4 linked regions of the Tamandua tetradactyla genome follow. The protein of the gene in region 4 interacts with the protein of the main gene of each other region in a biochemical or structural test. Links are inferred from orthologs where the notes say so. Each region holds a gene or a part of one and is shown on either strand. Other genes may lie near its edges.

The links.
Region 1: the proteins of CBX5 (region 4) and TRIM28 form a complex in vitro, tested with the Homo sapiens proteins (6 studies listed by BioGRID, with this or other methods). The link is inferred for Tamandua tetradactyla from reciprocal best matches to the Homo sapiens genes CBX5 and TRIM28.
Region 2: the proteins of CBX5 (region 4) and LBR form a complex in vitro, tested with the Homo sapiens proteins (2 studies listed by BioGRID, with this or other methods). The link is inferred for Tamandua tetradactyla from reciprocal best matches to the Homo sapiens genes CBX5 and LBR.
Region 3: the proteins of CBX5 (region 4) and SMARCA4 form a complex in vitro, tested with the Homo sapiens proteins (2 studies listed by BioGRID). The link is inferred for Tamandua tetradactyla from reciprocal best matches to the Homo sapiens genes CBX5 and SMARCA4.

Annotation. Positions count from the first base shown.
Region 1 is NC_135342.1:134,528-142,511, forward strand, and holds the start of TRIM28 (transcription intermediary factor 1-beta), read right to left. Parts: upstream 3,003-7,984; 5' UTR 2,988-3,002; coding exon 2,648-2,987; intron 2,556-2,647; coding exon 2,443-2,555; intron 2,249-2,442; coding exon 2,116-2,248; intron 884-2,115; coding exon 748-883; intron 660-747; coding exon 543-659; intron 462-542; coding exon 347-461; intron 260-346; coding exon 113-259; intron 28-112; coding exon 1-27. UniProt on the Homo sapiens protein: Nuclear corepressor for KRAB domain-containing zinc finger proteins (KRAB-ZFPs).
Region 2 is NC_135328.1:135,680,792-135,687,818, forward strand, and holds the start of LBR (delta(14)-sterol reductase LBR), read left to right. Parts: upstream 1-4,022; 5' UTR 4,023-4,132; intron 4,133-4,202; exon of another isoform or gene 4,203-4,438; intron 4,439-7,027. UniProt on the Homo sapiens protein: Catalyzes the reduction of the C14-unsaturated bond of lanosterol, as part of the metabolic pathway leading to cholesterol biosynthesis.
Region 3 is NC_135337.1:90,868,781-90,876,137, forward strand, and holds the start of SMARCA4 (SWI/SNF-related matrix-associated actin-dependent regulator of chromatin subfamily A member 4), read right to left. Parts: upstream 3,012-7,357; 5' UTR 2,904-3,011; intron 2,838-2,903; exon of another isoform or gene 2,721-2,837; intron 2,422-2,720; exon of another isoform or gene 2,297-2,421; intron 1-2,296. UniProt on the Homo sapiens protein: ATPase involved in transcriptional activation and repression of select genes by chromatin remodeling (alteration of DNA-nucleosome topology).
Region 4 is NC_135333.1:115,670,124-115,678,088, reverse strand, and holds the start of CBX5 (chromobox protein homolog 5), read left to right. Parts: upstream 1-4,964; 5' UTR 4,965-5,111; intron 5,112-7,965. Other genes in the region: HNRNPA1 (heterogeneous nuclear ribonucleoprotein A1), read right to left, coding at 818-873, 1,255-1,410, 1,913-2,062, 2,237-2,311, 2,546-2,638, 2,721-2,813, 2,895-3,105, 3,219-3,365 and 2 more. UniProt on the Homo sapiens protein: Component of heterochromatin that recognizes and binds histone H3 tails methylated at 'Lys-9' (H3K9me), leading to epigenetic repression. In contrast, it is excluded from chromatin when 'Tyr-41' of histone H3 is phosphorylated (H3Y41ph).

The sequences.
Region 1 (7,984 bases), on a different chromosome or scaffold from region 4:
GAGGGCGCGGTGCAGCTGGAAGTAGATCTGTGGGCAGGGAGCAGTGTGAGCAGCAGCGTGGTATCTGCCCACCCTGAGCCCACCGAGACTCCCGGCCCACCCGACCCCGCACCAGCTTCTTAGAGAGCAACAGGGCAGTGTTATTGTCACTCTCCAGGGCCCACGAGGCGAAGCGCAGAATGTGTTCCTGGTGTTTCTGGATCTTGGTCATGGTCCAGTGCTGCCGCTCCAGGCGCTCCTGCTGACCCTCAGTCACCTTCTGTGGGGTGGGGGCAGTGGGCAAGGGGTGGGGTCAGCAGGGGAGAGATGGCCCAGGACCCTTCCAGCCCAGAGAGAGAGACAAGACCTGGGCATCGTTAACCAGCACACGGCCCCGCTTGTTCAGCTCCTTCATGATCTGCAGGATGGCCATCTTGACATCCACCTGCACGCGCTTCTGCACGTCAGACACCTGGCGGATCCTGCAGTAGGCAGGTCAGGGCGGGTCAGCCCCAGTGGGCACAAGGCCAGATTCCCCCCACAGCCCCAGCATCCCCACTTACGAGCTGCGAACCTCCTTGGTGCTCTTCTGCAGTGTTGCATGCTTGTCCCCAAGGCGCTTTACCAGTGAGGCCAAGAGTTTGCGCTGGTTCCTCACTGCATCCTCCAGAAACTGATACCTGTAGGGCAAGGGGGAACATGGTGCTAGACACACAACACGGGATAGGCAGCCCACACCACCCTACCCAGGCCAGCCACGGGACTCACTGGTGGTCCTTGTGGGCATTGAGCTGGCAGTCCCGGCAGGTGAGGGTGTCACAGCTCTCACAGAACAGCACGAGTGGCTCGTGCTTGTGCACGTTGCAATAGACAGTGCGCTCGCCATCTCGCGACTTGGCTGGCCCTGCAGGGCGGGCACCATGAGATGGGCCCTCACCTCTGGCCACCCGCACCTCAAGCACCCCACAGAATGCTGCTGGGAGTGCAGGGAGTACCAGCCTGCAACCCCAGCACCCTATGCCCGAGCCTGGCCAGACAGATGTCCTGGCTCTTCCCACTTCTGAGAACACTGACAGTAAGGGTGCTCTCCACTGCTTTCTGCCCAGCTGTGTACTTCGAAACAGCTCCTACCCTCAGGCCTCCTGACAACACCCCCCTCTGAGCTTTCTCCTCCATCCGTGGCACCATCTGCCCAGCAGAGTGTGTTCACCCACTACAGCATCAACACCTATACGGAACAGACCCAAAAACACCCTGCCTATGTTCTGCTATGCACAAGAGCTGTCTGCTGACCTCCCCTTTACAGCTGAGCAAAACAAAGCCACACACCACTTACAACCTGAAAGTCTACAGGGGACCTTTCTTGGCTCCACTCATCTGAGGAGAGAACATGTTAGACCAGCACACTCTGGGACCAAAATAAATCACCTACCCTACTAGAAAGCTGCCCCGGCACATCGACCCTCCTCTGTCCATCTGCAACATCCGATTCTGTGACAGCTCACCTAGCCCAAGGCAGGTGTCACTTGAACAGAAATCAGCAGGCCTCAGTGTCCCAGCTGCTGCCTTCTCCAAGGCATCTACATCTGCCCTAAACCTAAGACCCAATGTGAACTCCTGTTCCTCCCTCTCGGCTACTCAGGCCCACTCCGGGCTGCACGGTAGCTCTGACAGGCCAACTCGTGGGCCAGACACCAAGTCAGGCTCAGGAGCTCCTGAGCCCCTTTCCACCCTAGAGCCACCCAGAAACTGGAAACAGCACCCGTGACTGTAGGCAGAAAACTGCCATCCCACAGCTAGGACATTTTGGGGGCTTCCTGTCACTGACAAACCCTGGGTCAAGAGACCCATGTCCCTAGGCCTCAATTTCCCCAGTGTTTCCTCAAGCCAGCGTACCAGAGAACCCCTAGTCCAGGCAGCCCCTCACATCCTTTGCAAAGGACACTGGCTTTCCCCACCTGTACCTGCCTCCCCTGCCTGGACCCTTCACAACATTCTCTCGCAAGGCTCTCCAATGCTATCTGCTCCCTGTGCACCGAGGCCCCTGTCCGAACCCCCAGAACCCCAACCCTCCTCCTTTCAAGGAGGTTTGCCATTAGGGACTGCTGGCAGTTCATCCTGAGGCACCCCATGTACCGGTGGAGCGCACGGTGTGGTCCTTGGTGTACTTCACCCGCTGGTGCGCCTCCACGCATGTCTCGCACAGCGGCTCAGAGCACTCCACACAGTAGCTGGTGGCCGGCGCGTTGTCCTCACAGCTGGTGCAGCACTGTCGTGCAAAGGTGGGGTCATGGGGGCGGGGCCGCAGATGGCTCCACATCTACATCCCAACAACCCCCACCTGAGAAGGGGCATCCCTTTACCAGGCCAGGTGGCCCGCCGGGAAGCGGTGGGCACCCTCACTGCTGATTCGGGCCGCAAGCCACCCCAGGCCCCTCCGCAAGGCAGGGGGGCAGCACGCACCTGGTTTGCGTCCTGGGAGTCGGTGGCGGCCTTGCTGCCATTATCGCGCATGAAGTAGTTCTCCACAATGTCTTTGGAGAAACACTGCTGCTTGCACACGGGGCAGTCCACCACTGCGAGGCCAGAGAAGAGCAGGAGAGGGTAAGCGCCGGCGGCCGCGGGGCGCTTCGGCCCGGGCCGTCCCCCGCCCCGCCCCCGCACTCACCCGCGCCGTCCCCCGCCGCGCCGCTGTCCCCGGAGCTGTTGGCCGCGGCGGGCGCGGCGGGCCCGAGGCAGGCGTTGCAGGCTGAGTGCAGGCAGGGAAGCAGGCGCGGCTCTCGCTCGGGCCGCAGGCGCTCCCGGCACACACCGCAGTGCTCCAGCAGCTCCAGCGCCTCCCCGCCGCCCGCCGCTGGCGACGACGCCGACGCCGAGGCCGCCGCCGAGGAGGCGGAGGCCGACGCGCGCTTCTCGCCGCCCGCAGAACCCTCGCCCGGGCCCGGGCTGGCCGAGGCCGCCGTGGCCGCTGAGGCCGAGGCCGAGGCCGCCGCCGCCGAGGCCGCCATTCACACGCCGCCGGGGGCGCCCAGGGGGGAGGAGGGGCGCAGGGCCCGCCGCGCAGGCGCAGACGCGATCGCCGCCAACGGCCGCGCCGCCTGGGCCGCCGCAGCCGCCGCGAGGCCGAGCGCCGCCCGGGCCGCCGCCAGCCGCGCGCGGGGCGCCGCCGAGGTCTGGCCGGCCGTCGCCTGCTGCCGCCCGCCGAGCCGCCTCCCAGACGACGCCGCCGCCGCCGCCGCCGCCGCCGTCGAGCTCCCGCCCTGCGCCACGCGAACAACCGCTCGCCCGCGCGCCCGCTCGCAGAAAGAGCCGCGGCCGGGGGGCGGGACAGAAATAACTGGCGCCGACGCCGTTGCGCATGCGCGCTGGTCGTCGCGCGGTCCGGGGGCGGGACTTGAGCCGACCGCGAACCTGTCAGTACGCACGCGCAAGCGCTGGTCCCTCCCACCACCGCCCCGCGGCGCGGCTCGCGCGGTGGGGGCGGGGCCACGGGACGTCCGTCCCGCCGCTCGGGCGGGCGCTCCCCCAGGCCCCAGCCCCACCTGTAGGCCGCGCGGAGGCCGGCGTCTGTACTGCGCACGTGCGAAACCTCTCCAGCCGTGGCGTCACCAATGGCTCCGTGGGGCGGGGCCGAGGGGAGGGGTCGAGGCGAGGGGCGGGGCCAGAGGTGAAGGGTCCCCATCCCTGCGGAAAGGGTGGGTGGAGGCGGGGACCTCGGTCGTTTAAACCTTTTTAATTGTTAAATGTGAGAAATACAGGAAATTGCCCCAAACCCTAGGGGTAACAAAGCAGTCAAACCGTGAAATCCCACCCGACCCCCCCCAAGCGTCCCCTCCCCGTCACCCAGCCAGCCTCCGTCCTGACTTTGATGCTTTGCCATCATCTGCCAGGTGGGCGTCTCGAGCCTCAACAGTGGGCCGGGGGTCCTGTCCGAGGAGGGGGCGGAGGGGTCCTGTTTGAGGAGGGGCAGGGGTCACTCGGCGTGGAGGAAGCTTGCGGGAGGGACCGCCACGGGGCGGGGGGGGTCTCGGCCGCTCTGCAGTGACCGCGGCGCGCACAGGGCCCGGCCTGCCTCAGTGTCCCCGGTGGTGGCGCGGCCTCGAGTCGCGGACACCGCGGCAGACGGGGAGGAGGCTTCCGGGAGGATGGGGGCCGCGGCGGGGGCTGGTCCGCTCCCCGGGGCGCCTGGACTGGGCGTGGCCTCCCCGGCGGGGCTGGGGGAGGGTCGCACGGCTTGGTTCCCGCCCCTGCCTTTGTTCGAGCCCCGGCGCGCGGCCCCTAAACTCCGAGCCCCGCCCCGCCGGGTGGTCGCGGCAACGGCGCCCTGACGCCCCCCGCGGTGGGGTTTCCCCGCTGACCTCGCCCGGCTGAGCCGGGGGCCACCCCACACCCGCAGCTCCTTCCCCGTTAAGGTTCCTGACCGCGGGCCCACCCTTCTCTAGTAGTTGGGGACGAAGATTGGTGGCCGGCCGCGCTGGGCGCAAGCTGTGGGTCCCCTGCCAAAAGTAACATATGTTCTCCGCCGCGTGCTGGGCCCCCGAATCCCAGGAGCTGGGGCAGCCCCGTGTTGGGCCCTGCGGCAAACGCCTGGTCGCGGAGGCAGAAGAACCAGGCTGCTCCAAATAAGTAGGTGATGGTCAAGAGCACAGAGGAGGGCCCCCTAAGGGCAGGACACCCCCACACCCTGAGGGCAGGAGCCCCAAGTGCAAAGGCCCTGAGGCAGGCCGGGCAGCTGGAGGACCTGGGCAGGTGGTGGCTAGGCCCCTGCCACCCTAGGGTCACCTGTGCTCCATTCCAGCCCCTACCCACTCCCTCACTAGATCCTGAGGAGCCCTGGGAGGCGAGGACCTACCAGACGGCCAGAGCTTCCAGACAGGCGAGATGAGCAGAGGTCCATCTGGCCTCCTACTCTCGCATCCCCCACACCCCTGACCTCCCCTTCGCTGCCTCCTGCCCTCCAGACACTACACCCCTTTGCAGACTGGAGGGGGTGAATTGAGGTGCTGAGATGGCTCCGCGTTCTCCCACCCACTGGCCTCTCTCACCCACTGGCCGTTCCTCCCTGACTCCCCACTCCAGCTCAGACTTCTGTCCAGGATTAAGGCTCAGAGCTGTTCAGAGCTGTTGTTTTGTTTTGATAAAAGCCTTATTGAGCTATAATTCATATAATTTTGCCCATGTAAAGGGTACAATTCAGTGGTTTTTAGTGTATTCAGAGTTGTGCAACCATCACTAATTCCAGAACTTGTCCAGTACCCCGAAAACAAACTCCTACGCACTGGCACTCACTCCCATTCTCCCCAACCAATGGCACCACTACTCTACTTCCTGCTTCAATGGGCTAGCTGCTCTTGCAGTGACCCTTTGGGTTTGTGTTCCTTTTTCTCCTTCCTTCATGCTTCCCAGCGCCCTGCTGTCCACGTGTCCTCACGCCAACCCCTTCCCACCAGCCAGCAGCCGGGGCCTCCGCTGGTACCCTGAGCCTCAGGCTGCACGTAGGCACGTCCGTGGGTTTATTACCTGGTGGGGAACTGCAGGGACGGGAGGTCACACCCTGTCCTGGATCTCAGTAGTTGTCACAGCTGCACAGCATTGCAAATGTACTTCACGTCCCTGAGGTGTGTGGACTACAGTGGGAAAGCGGAGCTTGTGTTCTGTGCTCTGCTGCACATGCACATGCAGGGTGAGTCTCCAGCCAGAGTCCTGGGCTCCAGCCCTGTGACCTCTAACTTCGCCTTGCTCCAGCCCCAAGGCCTAGCCTGCTGTGCCCACTTCGGAGCCTGTGACCTGCTGCCCCCTCCACGCAGACCACTCGCCACTCTGTTGGGCCAACTCCTAATGCGGTCCCTGAGCTCTGCGCAGTCTCGGTGGGTGCTATGTACCTGGGGGCCTGGGCCTGTGGGCGCCCAACGCCCGGCCCGCAGGTGTGGAGCCTGCAATGCGGCCAGGCTCTATCACTTTGTTTTTTCAATTTACTTTTCAGTGGGTGTGTGTATGCACACACACAGACACACATCCCATAAAGTTTGACCTTTTAACCATTTTTAAGCAGACAACTCGGTGGCATTACTGACACCCATAGTGTCCTGCAGCCATCCATCCCCAAAACTTTCCCAGCACCCCAAACACAAGCTTGGTGCTTCCTAGGACTGAGCTCCCGGCTCCTCCTCCCCTCAGCCCCTGGTACCCCATCCATTTCTCTCTGTGTGAACGTGTGGACTCAAGATTTTTCACATAAGTGGGGTCATATGCTGCTGTCCTTCTATAGCGCAGCACTTCATCCCCTTTTATGGACAGATAATATCCCATTGTATGAGCGTGCCACGTTTTGTTTGTAGGTTCCAACACTTTTATTTTTACTTTTTTTACTGAGGTAAAATTCACATAACATGAAACTTACCTTTTTAACCATTTGCAGCGTACCATCCAGTGGCATCTGGTACATTCACAGTGTCATGCAGCTGTCACTGCCGTGTGCTCCCACAGCATCCTCATCACCCCAGCAGGAAGCCCAGCACCCGTCACTCCCACTCCCATCGCCTCCCGGCCTGGAAGCCAGCAGGACTCGATGAGCTCTCAGTGGGGTTATCGACACAGAGGAGGGCGGGCACACCCTGCGCAGCCCTGGAGCCCCCCTGGAGCACCACAGATGCACTCTGCCTGCTTGATGCACAGACTTGCTCCTCCAGTACAGCCAGGGCTTCCTGCGTTTGGGGCCGCCCTGAATGTGCTGTCGCAAACACAGCTGCTGGATGGACACTGCCTGCCCTTGGCGGTTCCAAGCTGGGCTTTTCTCTAAGTGTGATGAGTAGACAACAGAAGGTCTTAGCAGACACAGCATGAGAATTCCCATTTCAAAGCCTCCTGGTGGAACATGGTTAGGAAGAGCAGGTATTAGTTTAACAAAGCTGCTGTAATGAATTGCACAGGCCACGCAGCTTAAAGCAACAGAAATGTATTCTCTTATAGCTCCACAGGCCAGAAGTCCTAAATAAGGTTCATTATGTAGAAATCAAGGTTTCATCAGGACTGAACTGCAGGGCATGTGGGAGGCTCTTGAGGAGAATCGGTTCCTGCCTCTTTTAGTGCCAATGGTGGCTGGCACCCCTTGGCTTTTGGCCCCGTCGCTGCAGTCTCCAAGGCCAGCCTCCTTGGAGCTCCCTGTGCCCTGAGGTCCTCCCTTAGGGATACACATGATGGCATCAGAGCCACCTGGTAATCCAGGGTGAGTCCTGTCACAAGATCCTCCTCAGGTAACACTTTAGGTTCTAGGGATTAGGACAGGGATATTTTCCAAGTCCAGTATTCAGCCGACCGACCGAACTTCCCATTTCAAAGGCAGAACAGCTGACCCTGAGAGGGGTGAAGGATGGCCTGGAGCGCCCCAGGCTGGATTCAGAAGTACCTGCACCTCTCCCACCTGCTGCGTTCCGGGGCGGGGCGGGGAGAGGTGAGGACAGAGACCACCGTCTGAGGTTACAGAGAGGGAAGAGGAGGGAAGGTCCTCAGGGTCCAGACTCAGGTTTCTCTCCTTGCTGAGAGCACCAGGAGCCCTGGGAGAAACGGCTGATTCCAGGGCCAGAGCAGTAGCAAGCCCAGGTGAGCCTGGAATACCTTCTTATGTCATGAAGTAAGGAAGTGCCCAAAGAATCGTGGGGATATGTTAGAAGGACCCAGAAACCAAACCTGGCATGACAATAATCAGAAAGGACAATGATTGTCATTGACTTGACACATAGGCATCCGTGAAGGGTTCCCCAAAAAAGAGAAAGCCAGAAAAATAAGCCCATCTGTCACCACTGCGCACAGCTTTTAAGCCAAACTCTCACCCTGAGCACTTAGCATCGGCCCGTCCTCCTGAGAAATGTTGTATTTTCGGGCAGCACATGGCCCGAGTTCTTTCCTGAAGAAGTGTGCCCGCCTGTGCTTGAGCTTAGAATGGAGAAGACAGCATTCCCCGACTCTGTGAACTTTCTGCCAGGGAGGGATAATGCACTGATCCTCA
Region 2 (7,027 bases), on a different chromosome or scaffold from region 4:
AGCTAGCAGATGACCCATGTTCACCATGTGCCCTTCCAGCTGAGAGAGAAGCCCTGACTGTGTTCACCATGTGCCTTCTCACTAGAGAGAGAGAGAGAAACCCTGAACTTCATCGGCTTTCTTGAACCAAGGTATCTTTCCCTGGTTGGATGCCTTTGATTGGACATTTCTATAGACTTGTAATTAGGACATTTTCTTGGCCTTAGAACTGTAAACTAGCAACTTATTAAATTCCCCTTTTTACAAGCCATTCTATTTCTGGTATATTGCATTCTGGCAGCTAGCAAACCAGAACAATATTTTTTTCAATTAAAATAGTGTAGATGAAAAGACTGAAGACAGTTTTATGTTTAAACATGCACTACAGGAGGGTTCAAAGGATTTAAATACTTAGAAAAAAACCAACAAATGTCTTAAAATGTACTGACACATATGATACTGAAAACATCCTTTAATTTATTTGCAATGGATTAAAAATGATTTAATGAACTTAAAATAAAATTGTGCTGAGTTATTACGTGCTGTACTTCTAACATTTATTAAGTGATCGACAAGCACTGTGCTAAATCCATTAGATGTGTAACTGTATTTAATTATCACACTTACCTGGTAGAGTTAAGTACTTGATTATTCTCATTTTACAGATGAGGAAATCAGAACTTATAGAACTTGGTAGAAACAGGGCTCCAAGAGGAACCAGAATTCACATGGCCTCAAATGCTGCACTCTGAGCCACTCAGATAAGGCAGCAGAATCTTCTGATATAATTAAATTATATATTTCTCCCAGAGGCTTTTTAAAAATTTTTTTTATTTAAGTTTTTATTAATAAAACCAATGAACATACAACACAAACATTCTTAACATATGAACATTCCATATTTGGTCCCAGAGGCTTTTTGATGATAGAACTTTAACATTGTTCTTATAGATCTTTCTTATTATGGGACATCAAACTACTGCAGCCAGGTTTGTCTTCTCACTGCGTCCTTCTATGTAACAGGTCAAGTTTACAATGGTCTCAATTCATTCTCTCCCCTACTAAATCAATCAATCACTCAATCAAGAAATCAACCAATTAATTCCACAAATAGTTAACTATCATGTGCCAAGTGCTGTGAACACAAGGAACACAGATCTGTTTTCATTACAATCTAGTAAATTCTGCTCCTCTTTTGGACCTCCTCAATAGTGTGGCATGAAGGGATGTAAATCAAGGTGACATTGCTTACGCAGTTGACCTTCCTGCTAAGGCTGGTGCCTGCTCTGGGTCCTATGATGGAAAATCATGCATTTTGGAGTCCAAAAGACCTGGATTTGAAGCATGGCTTTACTGAATTATGCCTTGAGCCAACTTTCCGAGTCTCAGGGTTCTCATCCTGTTTAAGCCTTATTTACTCTTAATTAATTCTCTTAAAATAACAACCAAATTAATTTCCTTTGAAATTAATTAATTTTGGTATATGAAGAATTTTCAAAAAACAAAGTGCTCTTTGCCAGAGCAGACAAATATGAACCTCGTGGTACAGCCATTTGCCTTGACAGACATGGCAAGGGGAGGCTGCTTTGGCACTCAGCCCATCTCTGAGACCTCTCCATCCCTGCCTCTCTGCCAGTCTCTTCTGTGGGGCCATCAGTTCTGGACCCTAATCTCAGCCACTTGGAGTGGCTTTTGGGTATTTCCTTCTATTACAATTAAGTGGTTTAAAACCTCAGACAAAAAACTTTAAAGAAAAATAAATCATTAATATAACCACCACCTTTTGCTTTGCCAGGAATTCTCAAATTTGAACCTGCTGATAACAGGATATTCCAGAGGGCTTATTAAAGGTGAGAAGGCTGGCCCCACCCTAGAGTTTCAGATTTAGTAGGCATTAGGTGGGTCTGAGAATTCGCATTTCTAGTAAGCTCCCAGATGATGCTGATGGGTGGCCCTCTGAGAGCTCTGTACTTTGTTAATCAGTTTGAGTCTATAGTTTGGTGTAGACACTGGAACCCGACTCCCTCGGGTTATTTACCCTTACTGTGCCTCCTCAGCATTTTCACCTATCAAGTATTTCTCTTAGGTGACTGTTGTTGAGAGTTGAATAAGTTAAAATGCATGAAGTACTTAGAGCACATGGGTTCTTGTAAGTAAGAACTTAATAAATGGTAGAGTTAATACACCAGATCCTGCTTCCTCATTTCTTTCTGTTTCATCAACTTGTTGACATATACATGCCCCACCCCTTAAGTTCCTCCATTTAGGTGTGGATAGCAGAGTACAGGGATCAATTTATTCAAATAGTTGCCCCTTTGCTGCCTGATATAAATATTAAGGGAAAACTGTGTGTGTGTGTGTAGGGGGTAGGTGAGTAAGTGGTTCAAATATATATATGTGGGTGTCAAATAAAAATGAAAAAATTGTTATTAAGATGAATAATTCATCATGTAAATCATGAACTCCATTTCTGGGTAAACAAACTATTCAGATCAAACAGCATCAGAAATATAGTTTTATCACATGACTCTCGGGGGTAATACTACTTTATGAATGAAGGCTTTCTACTGTTTCTGGCCTATAAAAGTTTGTTCCTCTAAAAGGTTACCAAGTGATTCCAACTGATTTCTTCATGCCGCTTGAATTTTTACCTAGACTTGTTTCCTGAAAGAGATGGTTCAATCCTGCAGCCAGCAACAAATGCCCAGGGTGACCGGCAACGCTCACGGATCATTACTTACCCCTGGGGTCTTTTCCAGAGTCTTAGCTCCGCTCAGGGAGCTACTGAGTTAAAATTCTTAAGCAAACAGGAAGATGAACAGAATTCAGTATGCCTCAACCTCCCCACTTCCTTCCCTCTGTAGTTCCCGCCCTACTCCATATACCCACTGGTCTTCCACCGTCCTTTCCCAACTTGTCCTCAGGAAACGCTCTCATGAACTGAGAAACCTTAATGTATTAGCTTTTGTTTGTTTGTTTTTGAAATAATAACCTTGGGTGTTTTGTAGTTAGAACTGGGTGAAAAAGGGGACTCTATATAATTTTAAAATTATATTTAAAATTATATTTTAAAAATTTTAAAGCGTAAGTGCTTCTAAAATAGAAATAAGGAGTTAGGAAATACTTTGATTAAAACCACACTGCAAAATAGGGAACTTCAATGGACTGCTTTCAACTCTCGACCTCAAAGGAAGGAAATCAACTAACCAATTATGATAACTTGGTGGAAAAAAGGATCCATAACAGATTTGGAGTTAACAATATGATTCAGCATTTTCCGGGTCAGCCAACACCAGACTTGAGGATGGAGGGCATGGTGAATTAGGGGTAGAATTTCCTGTTCCATGCCACATAGGTTTCGAGTAGTTTTCTCATTTCTTGGTAGGTCCGTCCCTTAAAAACAATTCCCCGCTCCACAAAACCGGTGGTGGAGGGCCGCCCACCTGAGGGAACTCACGGACATCCTTCGCTCTCCGCCCACCCGCCTGCGGCCTGGGTGAGGTTTTCTTCAACCGAGACGCATCGATCCCCGGGACAAAGAATCCGGGTGGCCTGCGGGGCCGCTGCTGCTCCGGAGGATCTCAACCCGAACCCGCCAAGGAGAGTACTAGTCGTGCTTCAGCAAGAAGCGTCTTCTGGCTTGGATGGTGGGTCTTTAATGATCACTGTGTGAATTTTCTTTATAGCTTTTTATTACCTCTTTCGCCGAGCCACCTCGAACCCCCCAGTCCTCCGCTGCTCATCGCCAGAGGCCACGGCGAGGGCGGGGAGCAAAAGGGGGGGAGCCGCGCTCGGTCTGCTGCAGAGCCGCGATAAGCTCGGGACCGGCGGTGGCCTAACGCAGCAGGGCTCCGCGGGGGACTCTGCGGCCTCTGCGCGGGCGGGGCGGGACGGACACGCCACAGCGCGCGGCCAATCGCCTGCGCTGGGGGCGATTCAAAAGCCTGTGGGGCCTATGGGAGCCCTGGGCGGCCCGCCAGAGGGGCGGGGCGGGGCGGGGCGGCGCGGCGCGCGCCCGGGCCGCGGGGCCGCGGGGCCGCGGGGCGCCAGAGCGCCAGAGCGCGGCCGGGTGGAGTCGCGCGCGCGGAACCGCCGCTGGGTTGCTCGGCGATTCTCCCGAAGGCGATCGTGCTCTCGGAGGGGCCCCGCGCAGGTGAGCGCCCCCGCCCCGCTCCCCGTGGTGTGGGCCCCCACCCCGCTCTCCGCAGCGCAGCCTTGGAGGGGGGCGGGGGCAGGCCCGCGGGGCGGTCTCCCTGGTCCTGGCGCTGATGGGTGGGCTGGAGACCCCCGCTCTCGGCCTGGCCGCGACCTCGCCCACTTCCCCCTTCCGGTCTGGTCGGTCCGGGCGGAGGCTGCGGAGGCCCGACCCGCCCCGCCCGCTTGGTGACCTGTTGCGGAAATGCAGCTGCCAGTTTTAAATCGCGGACGTTTCCCTCCATTTTGGACGAGCCGCGTTGATGTAAGATGATGTCGCGGGGGGGTTGGTCTGTGGGTCCCCGGCCCTTTGTCCCCTCCCGGCCGAGCCGGTCCCCGCAGCTTTTCGGCGCCCCGTTTTGACAGATAAGGGGGAGGTTTGGAGGGTCCTCAATGTCGTGGAGGGAAACGAGGAGAGCCAGCTTGCGGGACAAAAAGTGGGATGCAGAAGTTGAGACTTAAAATTCCTCCTGGCTGTCGCCGTCCTTAGTGGTCTCTGCGAACGGTAGGGCCCCGCACTTGGATGTGTAGATTTTTCTTGCCTGGTATTTCCGTACACTCATATAAAACGGATATATAGGCAGCTTTCCGTGTTCCTGCTTTGGCTCCATCCTGCGTTTTTCACTTAAAAGTCTTTATTTATTATGTATTCTTCATAATGAACGCAAGGGGCACTTACTATACATTTGATATCAGAAGGTCTTGTTCCTAGCGCTTCACCAAAAAAGATCGGCCTAGCCAGGAGTGGCACAGTAGAAACGCTGGGCAGCGCGTGGCGACCACGGGCGCAGCCTCGGTGCTGACCCGCTGCGCGAGGCTTTGTCCGGGATCCCGGCCGGGCGACCCAGACAGAGGTCTGGCCAGAGGCCTCCAAGACTTACAGCCTAGTGCGTAAACCTGTAACTACAAAATTGTAGTAACTGCTGTGAAGGAGAGGATCGGGGCGCAGAGAAGAGAGCAGGTTTCCTGATTTAGACCGGGTGCTGGAAAACAAACAAGTCTAGTTTAAGTCTTGTTGTTGAGCGCTGTCTGGGAAAGAGTTGGGTAGGAGGCAAATGAGGCGCTGCACGTTGCCTTCAGGTGTTTGTAAGGGAAAGTCAAGGCATCTTGCCTTAGAAATGCAGGGAGGGTGGCATTTCTTTGGCCTTAATGTAGGAGGGGTCCAGGGCAAGGCCTGGGGTTCCTGTTTGCATTCTGCCTAGTGTAGACCTCTCTTCGGCCCAGGTGTTAAAGGGAGGTAGGCAAAGGTTCATTTGCACTTCCCTTCCACTACCATATTCAGACTAATATAGAAAAGTGGAAGGCAGATGACCAGAGACCCTTGTAACTCTGTGATCAGCAGAGAATAGCAACAGAAACTTTTGTTATGTTGTTAAGTAGTAACAGATAGAAGGCACAATGTGCAAGCGTTCCAGAAATGTATGAGGATTTCTGTGCCAGTTGCCCCTGAAGTTAGCAAGCATGTGGCTTAATAGAGAAAAGCCTGAGGGTCCCAATATTTCCATTGCTGGTGGGGAATGAGAAGATTGTATTCAGTAAACAGAATTTTTCTTTACAAACACCTTTGGTTAAAATATTCCAAGGGAAGGTTCTTACATATCTTGACTCCCTTGGATGAGATCATAATGACATGTGAAAATGCTGTAGGGCTTTTTGGGTCCTGTCCTGACTAATTTACTTCTGTGGGAGATGATATGATGTGATTGCACTGTATTATCACACTTGACAGTTGTGTGTGGATCTTGTGCAAAGTGGAGATGCGTATAAGTTGGTGACTTCATCTTTTGGAACATTAGTTTATAAGATGATGGTTTCCTAAGGACAGTGCTGGTTGTATTTTTACTTGTTTTTGCTTTTTTAATTTAATTTTTCAACCACCACATGAAAGATATAGCCCCAACTCTTAAATCTTTTTTTAAAATAAAGCATAGAGAGCTAACATATATCCACCAAATGTCTTAATTTGTTTAGCCCAAAATATTTTAACTGGGTAAACAGAAAAATCTTTTTGACATTGACCTGTGTCAGTATTGCATAGATATTGTGTATGTGGTATGTGATATGTGCAACAGAAAAATGCCAATAAATAAAATTTTAAAAAGATACAGAATCTGTTCAAGGGTGTTTCTAAAATGTGGGTAGCCTTAAAGTTCGGAAGGGGCCGCTATAAAAGTTTGTAAAGAGTTGTGTGAAACTTGAAAGGCATCTTCATGAAGAAAGATGTGATACTTTTCCAGATTAGCTTTTCTAAACCCTGGTTGGCCAATGTAGGAGAACTAGTACTAATAACAGTGGTTTGATTTGGAGGGCTCAGGGAAGAGAAGGGAGAAGAAGAGAAGAGAGGAGGGAACATTTACTTCTTCTTTCTCAGTATGTGAAGGCTCTGAGCTAAATGTTGAAATAGGCCAAACTTGCTGTTGTCATCTTCCCTTTTTGTGTCCCTCCCCCAAAGCTTGATGTGCCCACTGTCCCCTGCTTCACAAGTGCCTCTCAGGTGACTCCTCAGCCAGGTCTGTTTAGTCCCCAGAGCTCTGCCTCTTCCTCCCCACCTCCCCCATTTATTACCCCAGTGATGCTTTCTCCTTGGTGTTGGAAGAATGCAGTATCTTTTACCTAATGTGTAAATTGACTGACATCCTCTAATTGCCAGATAAGTAGGTGTGTTTTCTTTCAAGTACAAATCTACCATCTGTCTAAACAAGTTGTGCTTGTTAAGTTTGTTCTCAGGTGATTAACAGTGCAGAAAAGACTGTCTTGGAAATGGGAGGTGGGAAATGTAACTTTCTCCTTTCTTAACCACACAGAGTCTTCAAAAGTTTTTCTTAAATGTTATTATTCTATAGTCACCTCTTCA
Region 3 (7,357 bases), on a different chromosome or scaffold from region 4:
TCCACCAACCGGGAAGCTGTGGTAGGGTCCCTTCCCGCAAGCTCCAGGAGTCGCCACGCTTGCTTGTCATCTGTCTAGGGTTGAGGTGACCTCTGTGCCAGGGTCGCACTGAGGGCAGAGGCCAAGCACGGCCAGCATGGGTGAGGCTGCACTACCTGCCGTCCTGCCCTCCCCACTGCACAGAGGCACAGAGAGGAGAAGTGGCGAAGCCAGGATTCAAACCTGGTGGTTGACTTCAGAGCCCCCCAGTGATGAAATATCCTTGGACCTCTGCTTCTTCGCTGGTAGAATGTTTTCTCAAGTGGACACTCACTCGACATACCTCATCCCTCCCCCTCTCTCCATGTATAATAAACGGCTAGGTGTTAAGGGGTAGGCCAGGGTTACTCCCCAAGGAGGGGCAGGTGTATGCAAACAATTTGTAAAGAATTATTCCTGTTGTGAGGGTGCTCACCTAAATCAATCTTTTCACCAACAGGAAGAGTTTGGGAACCACGGCACAGCCCTACAGCAGACTCTGCTGATGCTACTCCCCTGCCCCACAACCTCCAACAGCAACATCCCCAGAAAGGATGGACACGAAATGATGACTGAGGCGGAGGGAGGGATATTTATTCCTTTATAAGTGCATGTGCGCTGATTTTAAAGGAATTAAATACACACACATTATATAATCAGCACAGCAAACCTGGGGCTTCTGGGGTGTAGAGTGACTCTATGTTTTTAGTTTCTAAAACAGATGACTGACCACACACACACACACAAGATGAAGTAAACATAAAGACTAACAAACTGAGTGCTTACTACGTGCCAGGCACTCCCCCTGCTATCTCATTCACTCCCCCTCCCCAACAACCGTTTACAGGGTCACAATTTGGGGGATCAACTGTTAAGCGCCTTGCTCGAGGTCAAGCTGGGAATTTGTAGGGTGAATGTGAACCCAGGAAGTCTGAGTCCAGATTGAGCCCTCCTCACCACTACCCCACACTAATCACCAGCCCAAGATGCCCACACACCCTCAATTCCAGAGGGACCACAGTTTGGCAAACACCGGCCTGGAAACTTAAAACACTGAAACCAGCAACTAGCACTCACTGCTTACATCCCGGTCCCAGCACCATGCCAAGCCTGGGCTGCCACTGGGAACCAGGAAGGCGTGGCTCCTTCCAACAGTGCTTGGAGTGGGATGGATGTGTAATTACAAATCGGGGTGACTGCTACACGGGGAAGCAACATGGGCAGCAGACAGGTGCAACGACCCAGACCAGGCAGTCAGGGAAGGTGCCCCTAAAGCTGCATCCCTGCCAGTCAAAACCCAGCCCTGAGCATCTTCCCTGAGTATGTGTGAATGTCATCTCTTCCATGCAGCCTCCCTAAACCCTGGTTCTCCCCTCTCCCCCAGATTCTAGATAGGCTGTTAAATGATTAAACGATAAGCCAAAGTGATTTGTTCCCATACCACCCACATCTATTTAAAGGTCGGCTTCCTCTACAAGACTGGTCTTGAAAGCACCCAACCCCAAACCATCTGGCACCCAGCAGGGACTCAACCAATACTTGCTACACCATGAAAGAGGGGCATCCAACCCCAAACCATGTGGTACCCAGTAGGGACTCAACCACTATTTGCTGAACCATGAAAGAGGGGATTGAACCAGACAAATGACAATAAACAGTGCTTTCCACCCGCCACGAACCATTTTACAGGCTTCCACAACTCCATTTGTAATATTATCCCTATTTCACTAGGGAGAAGACCAGAGACTCAGAGAGATCAAGCTACTTGCCTAAGGTCACACAGCCAGGCGACTGTCAGCGCCAGGAATCACACTCAGTGGAATCCAGTCTGACAATTTACATTGAAAACTTGTTTCAAACGCTTGGGAAGTGGCTCTTGCCACTTTCTACTTTCCCGCAGGATCCACCCTCTAAACAAAAAAAAAAAAAAAGAAAAATCAAGACGGACACCAAAATACTCCCGGAAAGGTTCACGATTTAAAAAGAGCCTAAACGTTGAAAATAAATTGGGAGGGAGGGGGGAAAAAAAGGGTGCCAAACAAAACAATGCTTTCAACAGCAAACATTTCCCTCCGAGCTGCCAGGCACTTGCCGCCGCCACCCCAACTCCCCCACTTCGGGGCAAACGTTTTCAAGTCGCTACCTCCGCGGGACTGGGGGAGTCATTGACCTTTCCTGGAACACCTAGAATGCCGTGATTTTTAAATACATTTTTAGGCCGGCTTTGGGACTACACAGGGGGCTACTGATGCTCGCGTCCCGGCGGCAGCGGGCACACCTGGGTTCTTCCCGGATCGCACTGGGGTCCGACAGGTTAGAACGTAGCCAGAAAAGTCCCGACGCCTGGCTATTGTTGCAGCCGCGAAGACGGGGGATTGGACCCCGGGACGGTAGCGGGAGGCGAGCTTTGTCCAGCGACCCCGGCGGGCGCGCGCACGGGGGGGGTGGACGCGCAGTCTCCACGCGGCCCGGAGTCCCCCGCGCCCGCCCGCGGATGCTGCTGCAGCCACCGCGGCCTCGCTCCGCTATGGCCGGGCCCGCGCGCGCGGCTGCGGGCCAGGGCTTCTTGGCCCTCGGGCGCCGCCGTACTCCGGCCCCGCTCCAGGCGCCAGCGGCCCCCTCCCCCCGCGGCGCCCCGGCTCCATTCAAACCGTCTTCCCCCGCCCCGCGCGGCGCCGCTCCCCGCACCCCGCGTTCCTTACCGGGAGCCGCCGGCGGCGTCGCCTTCCCGGCACCGCCCCCGCCCCTCCGCGCGGGGCCGGGGGCAGAGTGGGCGTCTCGCCTCTCTTCACCAAACAAAGAGGCCGCCGCCGGCGCCGTCACCGAGCAAGGGGAAGCCTCGCGCGCGCGCCCGTCCGCCTCGGCCGCCCCCCCTCCACACACGCCTTCCGCGGTCCCGCTGCGCGCTCACGCGCCGACTCCCCTCCTCCCACCACGGGCGGTCGCTTGAGCTTCCGCCGCCCGCGCCAGCCTCGTGCGCGCGCCCCCGCCCTTCCGCTCCCCGTGCGCGTGCGCGCCCGCGCGAGAGCCGCGGTTGGTGGGCGGGGCCCATGGGTAGCACGCGCAGGGGACGCACCGCCCCTCTCGGGCCGGGCTGGCTCTGCGCCTGCGCCCAAGCAGTCTTCCTCCTCCGCACGCCGCGCGTCCCGACGCCGCCGAGCATGCGCGGAGCGGCCGCCACGGAGGCGGGGGCGGCGGGCGATTGGGGGATGGGATGGGTTGGGATGGGGGCGGCGGCGTGTGGTCCGCGGCGGCCGTCGGGTCTGGGGGTTCAGACGTGGAGACCCGAGGTGGGCCGGGAGGGCGGGACGCAGGCAGGCCGGGGCTGAGAACCGTCTTCATCCCTGGCCCGCGCGGCGAGGCTGGGCAGGCCCTGACCGTGGCCGTCTCCTCTGGGGCCATTCATTAGCTCGGCCAGTATTCATGGGCTGCACCGGGCCCTGCCCTGCGGCCCGGGACGGACAGAGGTCCAGCCGTCGTGGCGCTGACGGTCTAGCAGGGGAGAGACATAAGCCAAATCAAGGAGAATCTATAGCCTGTTCGGAAGACTCACGGAGGGTCGAGGGCTTGGGATGGGGGTGGCCTCGCGGCGAAGACCTTTGAGTAAAGTTAGGAAATCAGGGAGGGAGAGAGCCTGCTCCGAGCGAAGGGTCTGCAAGTAAGGCCCGTCTGTGTTTGTAAAATAGTAGCTCCAGAGCTGCCTCGTTTGGTCTCCCGAGCAGGACAAGCGCCCCCCAAGGTCACGCCCCATAGCCTGTACCGACCCTCCCCTGCTTCCCTCAGGCCGGGACTGGCTTATTTTCCTGGTCTCCGCTGGCTTTGACCCCCTCACGCCTTTCCTCGGTGTGAATCAGGGCCTCCTCTTCCCTTCCTAGCTATTTCTTGGACGCCGCTATATCGCCTGACTCTCTCGTTTAAACCCGTTTGAGTCAACATGTAGTAGTGGCGCACCCCTTCGCCTCACGACAGATACTTAAGAAAATTGTATCGAAACATAGTAGACACAGGCTGCCTGATGAGTTAGAGGACCGCACCTGCATCAGCTCCTGGGCTCTTTCCAAGGCCAAAGTGGCTGGTTTGCAGTGTAGAGCAGCAGGTGACATCTCATGCTGGAGTCAGATGATCTAGGTTTAAAACCTGCCTCCTTAACACAAATTGTGAATGTGGTTAATGCCCCTGAATACGTCCGCTTGGGAGTGGTTGAGATGGGACAGTTTACCTTGTATATGTTTCCAGGATTTAAAAAGAGAAAGAGACAATGACAATTAATTGCAAAACATGAGTATGCACTGGAAACTAATATGAACAGAAGAGAAAAATACTCAAAAGGACGTTACTGGGGCAACTGAAAAAAATTCCGACGTGGGCTATAAACTTAACATCAGCGTTAAATTTCTTGAACGTGATGACTGTACTTAAGGTGATGACATAAGTGAGAGTTCTTGGGAAATATACTTGAAAGTGTTAAGTTTTGGAGTGTGATATATGCAACAGTACTCTCAAATATTTAAAGACGGAATGCGGGAGACCCACATTCAATTCCCGATCCATGCACTTTCCAAAAAACAAACAAGCAAAACAAAAAATTCAACAAATGGTGCTACAATAACGGGATACTCATATGCATGAAATGTGACCCCACCATGCAGCATACAAAACAAAAAAAGGTAGAACAAATGTGGCAAGATGCTAAAAGTAAATCTGGGAACCTGAATGGGGGGTTCATTAGAGTTCTATGCATTGTTTTTTAATTATCCTTGCAACTTTCCTGTAAGCTATTTCACAATAAAAATTTAAAAAAACAAAACCCACCTGCATGTTGTTAGCTGGTGAAGTCAGGCAGGTTTCCTGAAGCGGTATACACCTGGGTTTCTTCCCCCTGGTAGAAGGAGAAGTGGCACCCACTCCAAAGGTTGGTGATGGGGAATCTGGGAGAGCAGGCCCCTATAGCTCTCCCTACCTTAGCTAGTGTTGTTAAGAGTAATGCACAGTAAATGTGTAACCAAGAAATGAGAATTTAAGGAATGAGTATGGTTATCAAATCATTACATGGATACTGCTTTTTGGTATATTGGAGTAGATAGAGGGAAATACCTGAAATCTTTAAACTGTAATCCAGCTGCCTTGATTGCTGGTAATGATTGTTTAACCTTTATGTTGTGCCTCTGTGGTTGTAAAAACCTTGTGACTCACCTCACTTGTACCCATTTATCCAATTTCTCAACTTTAGAGTCTTGCGATTATTAAAGACATCACCTAATGTTTATTAATGAAGGGTCCTGGGTCAGCCCAGAACTAACCCACCGCAAGTCCAGAGTTTTCCTGAAAACTGAGACTGGATCTAACCCCCTAGGCCCACCTGACATGCACAGTACCTTAGACTTTAACTTATGTCACCTGTACCTCATTATAATACTAATAAATCACACCCATTGGGCAGTGCAACAGTGGCTCAGTGGCAGAATTCTCAGCTGCCATGCCAGAGAACCCGGGTTTGATTCCCAGAGCCTGCCCATGCCAAAATAAAAAACAAAAAAACAACAAAAAAACCCCACACCCATCATCATATTAAGACTGCCATTTTCTTACATACGTTCTGTGACTAAGCATGTAATGGATCTGCGCATGCTTAATAATTAGATCACCTCTTATTATATCAGCTGGGATCATTGTGCTCATTATCCTAAAACCTGCCCATCTTTTAACATTGTAAAATGATCAGAATGAGTGCAGTTCGGGGTAACAGGTTTTTGGGCCAATGGGCCATCTGATCTCTTGCTTCGTGCCTAGCAATAAATTTTTTCTTTCTGAAACCCCAGTATCTCAGGAATTGTCATTTGAGTGCTTTGGGCAAAGGAATCCACTGCCTTTGTACGGTAACAAACGAGAGGAAATCGAGGCTTCTGCGGTTGCTGGACTGTTTTCAGTCTAGAGGCTAAGCAATCAGGTTTTTCTGTTCTGCAGGCACTACAGACCCTTTTGGTACCTTACAAAGCTTCAGAGAAAGAAACCATTTACAGATCCATGTCCGGACATCTGACTGTTTGAGTGGGTCATCAGGATAAAAGTGGATTGGGTTTTGAGAGACTGTTTTATACATATATATATAACCTATATTTAGAGATAAGAATGACATCAAACAGGTTGGGGCTAAAGTAATTCAGAACATAGGGGTAAGGAAGACAGTGTCTGTATTTTAGAACCACACATACTCTTTGAAACCAATGGAAGGAAGATTTATTTGGTCTAGAACTGAAATTTTTGGTAGTGCATAATCTAATTCAACCTATCTGCATAGCTCATTTGAACAACTGAAACACAGGAAGCACAGAATAAGAAAGCGGTCTTTTATCCTGTATAGATTACTGTAATGCCTGGAAACATCCTAGAGTATATTAAAGAGATAATCAAAAAGCATTGGCAAAGTCCCCTGAGGGAGGGGAAAAATACCATGGAACTATTAAACCTTACCATCAGGGAATCTCCTGATACTGTGTCAAACTTTAGGGACACCCAAATCAATAGGCCATGCCCTTGATCATGAGGCTTACTCTTGTGAAGCTTATGTAGGTAGCAGAGAAGCTTAGACTACCCATAGGCATGCCTCAGAGTTACTTCTGGAGGACCTCTGTTGTTGCTCGGATGTGGCCTCACTCTCTCTAAGCCCAACTCTGCAAGTGAAATCATTGCCCTCCCCACTACATGGGACATGATATCCAGGGGTGAAAGTCTTCCTGGTGACGTGGGAGATGACTCCCAGGGATGAATCCAAACCTGGCACCGTGGGATCAACAATTCCATCCTGACCAAAAGGGGGGGAAGAAGTGTAACTAATAAAGTGGCAGTGGCAGAGAGAGTTCAGATAGAGTTGAGAGGCTACTCTGGAGGTTGCTCTTATGCAAGCTTCAGGTAGACCTTGCTACCTGTCATAACCTGCCAACCCCCAACCAGGACCATTCCAGTCAATCCTAAAGAATACCTAGGGCAATATATAAGATTCCACAAGGGTTCTAGGCAGTAAAGTAACTTTCCAGAAACCTACAACCTCCAGATGCGTCCCTGGTCCAGATAAATCCTGAAACCTAGCCCAGCCGCTCCAGAACATCAGACAGTTCCATCTCCCTACCCCATATTAGTGAAAAACCCTTCCTATATAAAAAATTTAGAATTGCAATAGCCCAGACAATCCCAAAGAGAGGGGTGGAAAGATCAAAGGTGATGGTGGAATTATACATAGAAGATAGAACTTAACAAATAAATATGAATGCTGAATCATTAAATTGATATCTCTTTTAGTCTCATATTTTATTTATTTATTTATTTTAAACTTTTTTATTAA
Region 4 (7,965 bases):
CCAAATGAAATTCTGTACGTTTGATTGGGTGACCCTTTTTACTGATGAACTCCAGGTCACAACACAGTAACTGTCAGTTCAACTATACCAAGGTTTCTGAAGACAAAAAAGCTTCTCTGCCCACAAAATCATAAATGTAAATGAATTTTGAATGGAACCTGGCATCACCCTGAAGGAAGTCTAACTTCACACTGTTAGGGAGTTTATCAAGATGGCTTCAGAGTAGACTAACTTTACACAGCACATTTAAAAAAAGACACATTTATTCAGCGTCATGATCAGACTATTACATTTAGCAATCAACAGCATGGGTGCAAAAAAAAAAAATCTACATTAAAACCCTTTGTTGGAATGCTTTACACTTTCCACAGAACAGAAACTAAAATAACCTGTTATACAATTAGTCACAAATACAGTCCTTGTGTTTTTTTGCCCATACACATGAGTATTGTCTAAAACATGTCTTCTTTGTAGCAGCTAGGCCCTGCCACCACTGTGCTTGGCTGAGTTCACAAATCTGTTGTAACCTGTAGCTTCCCTGTCACTTCTCTGGCTCTCCTCTCCTGCTAAGCTTTGTTTCCTGTTGAACAATATGGAATAAAGTTGTTAATCTAAACATATTAAAACTCATGGCTACAATCCAATAGCAAGTTTTGTTTCCCACAAAATTTGCTGATCTGAATATTAACTTAATATCCATAATTTTACTGCAATTATAATGTTAACTATGTTGCACTGCTCAACTACATTAGGGTTACTGGATTCATTAGCGATTATAAAATCACATCAATACATAAAAGTGCTTACTTACCTGGAATTAAAATCTTCTGCCACTGCCGTAGCTACTGCTGCTGGAGGAACCACCATAGCCACCTGGGAATAAAATTTATTCCTTTTAAGTCTTAGAAGTTTTGTCAATAAAACCTTGGGTATGTGGGATGATAACATGTCCAATAAAGCTTATTCAAGAGTTTGACCACTTAAAAATAGCCCTTGCGTTATTAAGAAGATTTAGGCACTGTTAAAACAAAAATAGCCCTTGCCTGAGGCAGTAAGAGAGCCACAAACAGGTTCATTTTCCATTTCAAGTATACTTAAAATCTGAGCTTTTAATATATAAGGCAAGTTTTTAAGCCTATGCATACTACCTTGTGTTAAAGATAAGACAAAAGAAAACAAAACTTCAAGGCATCCCTTATCAATACTAGGCACAGCTATACTTAATTCTTCCAATACTACAGGTTTGTATCATACCTTGGTTTCGTGGTTTGGCAAAATATTGGCCTCCACCACCATAGGGGCCAGAACTTCTGCCTCCAAAATTTCCTCCCTTCATGGGTCCAAAATTTGAAGACTGATTGTTGTAACTGCCAAAATCATTGTAGTTTCCACCACCTCCAAAATTGCTTCCTAGGAAAGAAAACAAGTCCTTTGTCTGTTTAGTGTTCTGAAGTGAAACAAGGTTTATCATTTGCCCGACTACCAAGCTCTGGTCATCCTTGTTATTTCATCTTCTCTGGGTAAGGCATTCAGTTGACCAATCCAGTACTTTAGATAGTTCCAATTACCATAACCTAAAAGATTTCAGAGTTTTTATAGTGGCATTGAATCACTATAAGCAGCTTTCTTGGATTACTCAACCAGTACCTAAGTTCCCAAAGGAGAGTTAAAATACAACCCTGCTATGGAAGCTAATCTAACTCCAGCTGAAGACATCACTATCCACTTATCTATTTGTGAGTGAGGCGGCCCCAGCTTAAAGCTAGGAGGAGGTAGCACAGCAAGCCCATTTAAAAACATACCATGCAGCAGATCATCTAATGCCTTTTAAGAGCATCAAATCCCAATATAGCTATAAACTAAGAGGCTAGTCTAGCCCTCACACCAAATACTTTGATCACTGGATACCTACCACTACCACCGCCAAAGCCGCCTCCGTTGTTATAGCTGTCATAGCTGCCACTCCCGCCATAGCCACTGCCCTGGTTGCCATAACCCTGTCCACCACTTCCATAGCCTCTGCTTCCTCCAGAGTAACCAGGGCCGCCTCCTCCATAACCACCTACAAGAATACAATTCTTCTCTAAGTATTCAACTATTAAAATCTGTGTAAGCACAAAGGCTCACTCACAACATGCAGTTTATGGTGACAACTGAAGTTGTCCCGCACTAGTGTTAGCCTCTACTATCCTAATCTAAAACAGGTTACCCACATATTCCTTAAATTAAAACTCACCATCATTACCAAAGCCATTATAGCCATCCCCACTGCCACCATATCCACCACCACCTCGGCTGCCACCAAAACCACCTAGAAGAAAGCAGAATGTTAATACAATTAGGCTTGAGTATATGAACCACTTATTCTGAAAAAGAAACTATAATTTCTATGCCAAAGGGTTTTAAACTTTTGGTTAAGGAGAAACAAGCACTACATTTGGATAAATTAGTAACTTTGAAAATAAAGGCCAGTAGATACATACTACCACTTATCTGAGTTAATTAAATCACAAGCTTATTCTTAGTAAACTTCAACCATACATACCACGACCACTGAAATTTCCTCCACGACCAAAGTTGTCATTCCCACCAAAACCACCTCCACGACCACCACCGAAGTTTCCAGAACCACTTCGACCTTGTAAGGAAAGAAAACGTTAAGCCATACAAATTGAGATTACTCAGAATTACTTAATAAGGTTGAATTAAGTAACACAGACCTCTTTGGCTGGATGAAGCACTGGCCATCTCTTGCTTAGACAGGGCTTTCCTTACTTCACAGTTATGGCCATTCACAGTATGGTATTTCTGAACTAAAAACAGAAAAGATAAAAAGGTGACCCTAAGGAACACATGGATTTTGGAACTCTTAGTCTCAGTCATCTGATACTTACTGACAATCTTATCCACAGAGTCATGGTCGTCAAAGGTTACAAAAGCAAAGCCTCTCTTCTTGCCACTGCCTCGGTCGGTCATGATTTCAATCACTTCAATTTTCCCATACTGCTCAAAATAATCTCTTAGGTGATGTTCTTCAGTGTCTTCTTTAATGCCACCAACAAAGATCTTTTTCACAGTTAAGTGGGCACCTGGTCTTTGAGAATCCTAACCGGAAGAAAACCTTGTCAGTTACTTAAAAAAAAATCCCACAACTCTCACAAATCTGAAACATCTAATAACACATTTCCAAATGACTAAGGAAAGTAAAACACACTTACTTCTCTTGAGACAGCCCTCTTTGGTTCCACAACTCTTCCATCCACTTTATGTGGCCTTGCATTCATGGCTGCATCCACCTCCTCCACAGTGGCGTAGGTGACAAACCCAAAGCCTCGGGAGCGTTTGGTGTTTGGATCTCTCATTACCTGAGAAAGGTTTTAATTGACTTAAAGTTCCCAGAAACTGTCAAACGTTGATTACGTTTAACAGGCAAGTTTATAGTAGGGAGACCATAAAACTCTCGTTTCCCACCACCCTAGATTTTTAAAAAGAGACCTTAATTAAGTCATTAACAAAAAGCCACACCTTCCTTGACCAATCTATTTAAAAACACTAATCCTATTAACTTCATAGGCATTCAAATTAACAGTGTAGCCCTAGGACATCTACCAGGTTTTACTACCCTTTTTACCCCTTCCAAGTCTTACCACACAGTCCGTGAGCGTTCCCCATTGCTCAAAATGGCTCCTCAGACTTTCATCGGTTGTTTCAAAGCTTAACCCTCCGATGAAGAGCTTCCGCAGCTGTTCAGGCTCTTTAGGAGACTAGGAGTGAGTGGATAAGTATCAAGTGGAAATCTTACAGACAGGAGGGGCAAAATTAGCCGCTAGCATACATTGCACTTATTGTTCTTTCAAGCCGCGACAAACCATGTGCTTTTCCCTCTCAGGGACGGCTTGTTGCGGATGGAAGGCCATAAGCGCATGCGTCCCTATTCTCCTCCCGACGCACGCGCAACAAAAGCAGGGGGCGGGAGGGGTGCGTCGCCAGTAAGGGACGAAAAATTGTCAAGAAATTAGAACGCCGAGACAAGCTTAAACAAAACCAAAAAGATTGGACAGATCTAAGTATTTTACCAGGCGTTAGCATGAGCCCGTTGTAATAAGTAATGGTTGCCGGAAACCGGCCTCATGGCGACGACGAGGACAAAATGGCGACCCGAACTTTGGGAGGGGTAGGCCCTGGCAGCTACGGAAGGAATCGTTGGATGGGCTGCTGCAAGCACCGAAACGAAGCCGAATCCTAAAGAACTTAGGAAAGGTCGATAGAGACAGTGAAGTTGAAAAGAGAATTTACCTCTGACTTGGACATGACGGCAGTGAGAGGAATGACTTCAACGATGCTTCCCCAGCGGCGTCCAAGAGCAGAAAGGAGTAAGCTAACGAAACTATATGCCAACCTACCTTCTGCCTCTCCCTTTTATCCCGCCTCCTCACTTTCAGCATTGGTGGGTTCCGCCCCCTCTTAGCTATGATTGGATATCTGAAATTACTTCTTTCTACGATTGGCCTGTCTTGCCGCATTGCTATGCAACGTCATCCGTTTGGGCGTTCTACGCAGCTCCTCCCCTTAGAATCCATTGGTTCCTGAGTAATATTATTCTTAACCTGTCTGATTGGCTAGCCTACCAGTCATTCATATTTGAACGTACATAGACTGTTTAAAATGCTTTTTAATTATTAACACCCCAGTTATTACATTCGATTGACTTGGAAAATCACGCTTCATACTGTATTAAGACAGGTAGTTAACATGTACCTTTTTTTTTGCACCAACCCCCTTCAAAGCGCATGTGTAAGAAAATGGCGAGTTTACGCAGGCGCATTAAGAAGTTCCGGCTGCCGCTTGGAACACGCGAAATGGCGGACGGGAGAGGGCGTTGACCCTAGAGCGCCTGCGTAATGGCGGGAGTTTTTTTGCCCCTTTTTGCGCAGGCGCAATGGGCGGAGAAAGGGTCCGGTCCCAGGATTGGTCGCGCAGGCGCAGGAAAGGATCCGTTTTGGCGGGCGGTTGGCGTTGCGCAGAAGGCGGCGGCAGCTGTGGCCAGTAGTCGGACCTCACCACAGAGGGATAGAGAAGACGTTAGCGTGAGTGATCGCTCTACATCCCGGGTAAGTGGCAGACAATCTAGTCTAGCCATACGAGGTCTTGAACCGACTCCAGTTGGGCCCGTTATTGTGTGAAATGAATGGATCGCGGGGTGGGGGTTAGGGAAGGGGGAGCGGTGGGCCCAGCTAACCAATAGAAGATCAGGGGGCGGGATGTTTTAGCCCTGTAGGGTTTTAGAGTTGGGCAGCTGAAGAGTTTGACTGGCGGGTATATAGACCTATTGGCTCTCCCTTTACCTACTGACTGATCGGTCTTTGGGCCATCGGAATGTGGGAGACGGGTTTTCGCCTCCTGAGCAGCGTTTCACTGAGCCAATGAGTAGGAAGCGCGCGGTAGGTTGGGCTTCTGCAAGAGGCAGCCGTTCGACTCCAATGGGGAATGTGGGAGTCGGGCGGCTACATGGATGGACCAGATCTGGAACCAGTAGGCAGACAGCCTAAGGAAAGCGCTCGGGCTGGTGGTCCAATCAGCGTACCAAGAGAGGGAGGGCTGAGATTTGGGGGTGCAAGGAAGGGGGATCAATGCTAGTGATGGCGTGCGAGAGTGGGTATTTTATCCACAATGTCTTTTCTAATGAATGCTAGTTTAGATCTCCATCCCATTCACTTGCTTGGTAGGGAAACCATACGTTTGTTGGTATTTTTTTCACCCCATCGTCCACCACTTTTTAGGTTTTGGGGGGAGCCGTGGAGGCCTTTTGACTTTGGGAATTCGCTTCTTTAGGAAGACTGACAAAATGCTAAAACGAATAAGATACATCTCTGTATACAGTTATGGAAAGACATCGAGATACATCTACAAAATAATAATGCATATTTTACGGACAAATTAGATACGTTTATAAATCCATGGAAAAAGTTTTTGGAAAGCTAGACACCAAAGTATGTTATTTATCTCTTGGAACACGGTGGGATAGGGCGGGTTGGGTTGGTCCGTGGGCACTTAAGTGTTTATCCCTAGTGTTTAAATCTTCGCAGGGACAATAATTTGGAATTTAAAGTTAAATTTACAAAAATAAAGGTATGTCATGGATATGATGGTAATGGTAGCATAATATTGTGAATGTAATTGTTTGAATTGTGCACATGAAAGTGGTTAAAATGAGAAATTGTTTGTATATATGTTACCAAAATTAAATAAAATAAAAAATAAATGCAGTTGGTTTTTTTTTTTTTTGGTATTCCAGTCATAATCACCTACTTCTCACCACCCCTTTTCAACCTCTAAAGAGTGTTGTTTTCCCCTTAACTAAGGTGATTTTTCGGTATGAAAATAAGTAACTTTTTTTTGAGTACTTAGTAGGGCTAAGCATAATGCTAAGTGCTTTATAAGGATTATCCATGACCCTGTCCTTTATCTTAGTTTTTTTCTGAGGAGTGCCCCTAGAGATTTTTTACAACCCTAGAGATTTTTGAACACCTCTTTTTGCTGTTCTTTTTGAGAATTTTTGTATTTGTATAAGGAAGTTAAGGAGAATGATATTTAGACTGTTGGGGAAAGGAAGATCCATTAAACAGATAATTCATTGCCTTTTGATTATATTTCCTTCAAGGTGTTTATTTTATGGTCGCAAACCTAATTGTATGTATGATAATGATGCAGCTGCTTTCTTTTTAAGAACTGAAGTGAGGTTAAGGATATTTGTCTCCAGTTTGTTTAGGTTTGAAAGGAATACTATTTTGATCTCAAATTCAGCCTCAGCACAAGACATTTTGAGCTGGGTAATTCTTTGCTGTAGAGGGCTGTCTTGAGCATTGAAGGATGTTTAGCAGCATGCCTGGCCTCTACCCACTAAAATACAGTAGCTTCTCACCCTACCCCAAATTGCAACAATCACAATGTCTCTAGACATTGTCCGATGTCTTGAGGGGTGGAGATGGGGCTCAAAATCTTCCCCTGTGGAAAATCAGTGCTCTAAAATATGGCAGATGCTAGAATTGTCAAAACATTTTAACAATTTGAAATTAGGTAAAGGAGGGAAGAAGTGGCTGAAGTGTTTAGGGAGTGGCCTTTGGTGGTAAATGGAGCACTAAATCCTAGTAATTAGCTCTTGGATAATCTCTTCCGATAGTCTTGATCAGTGTTCCATTGGATAAAAGGAAAATTTCGTTCAGGTTTTTACGATTATTACATTTTAAACATATTGGTTAATTATATTTTGTGTTTGTTGGACTTCCTAAAATAATCATAAATTATAGATGGTTCTTAGGTTTTCACTTGATTTAAGCCTCTTTCCTGAGAATCTTTTTGATCAATGACTCCAAAACTTTTTAATACATTTTAGAAAAGAAATATGTTTACTTAGAAAGAAATACATTTTACACTGTCCATGTACACAAGTTCTACTAAATACATGGGCAAAGCACTCTGATATTTCTCATTTATAGTATACTATTACATTTAGTAAAAAATGAAGTTCCATTTTTCTACTGAACTGATTTGATTTCACAGCTTATCACCATGTATAGAACCACAGTTTTGGTGGGGGGAAAACCCCCACCAAAACTTTGATATGAAAAATAGATAACCAAATTGTGCCACGTCCGTAGATTCCTCTCTGAGTGGATTCTTCAAACACTTGTGCTTAGCTTTAAGGCATACAAAGCAATACCTAAAAGGTTTATTCACTACAAGGGAAAAATAACACATTTTCCCTGATCTGTCTGAAAGCTAATAAGTAGAAAGCTTCTATCTAGATAGTGAACAGGATAATGGTTGGGGAAAGAGAAAGAAGGAACATCTGAAGTGACTGGATTTTTATATGTCTGGGAGAGTTCTGGAAATTCTGAGAGTCCTTGACAATAGTGCTGAAGGGAGGGAAAGGTATCCAGGGAACAAAGTCTTCTGAGGAGGATT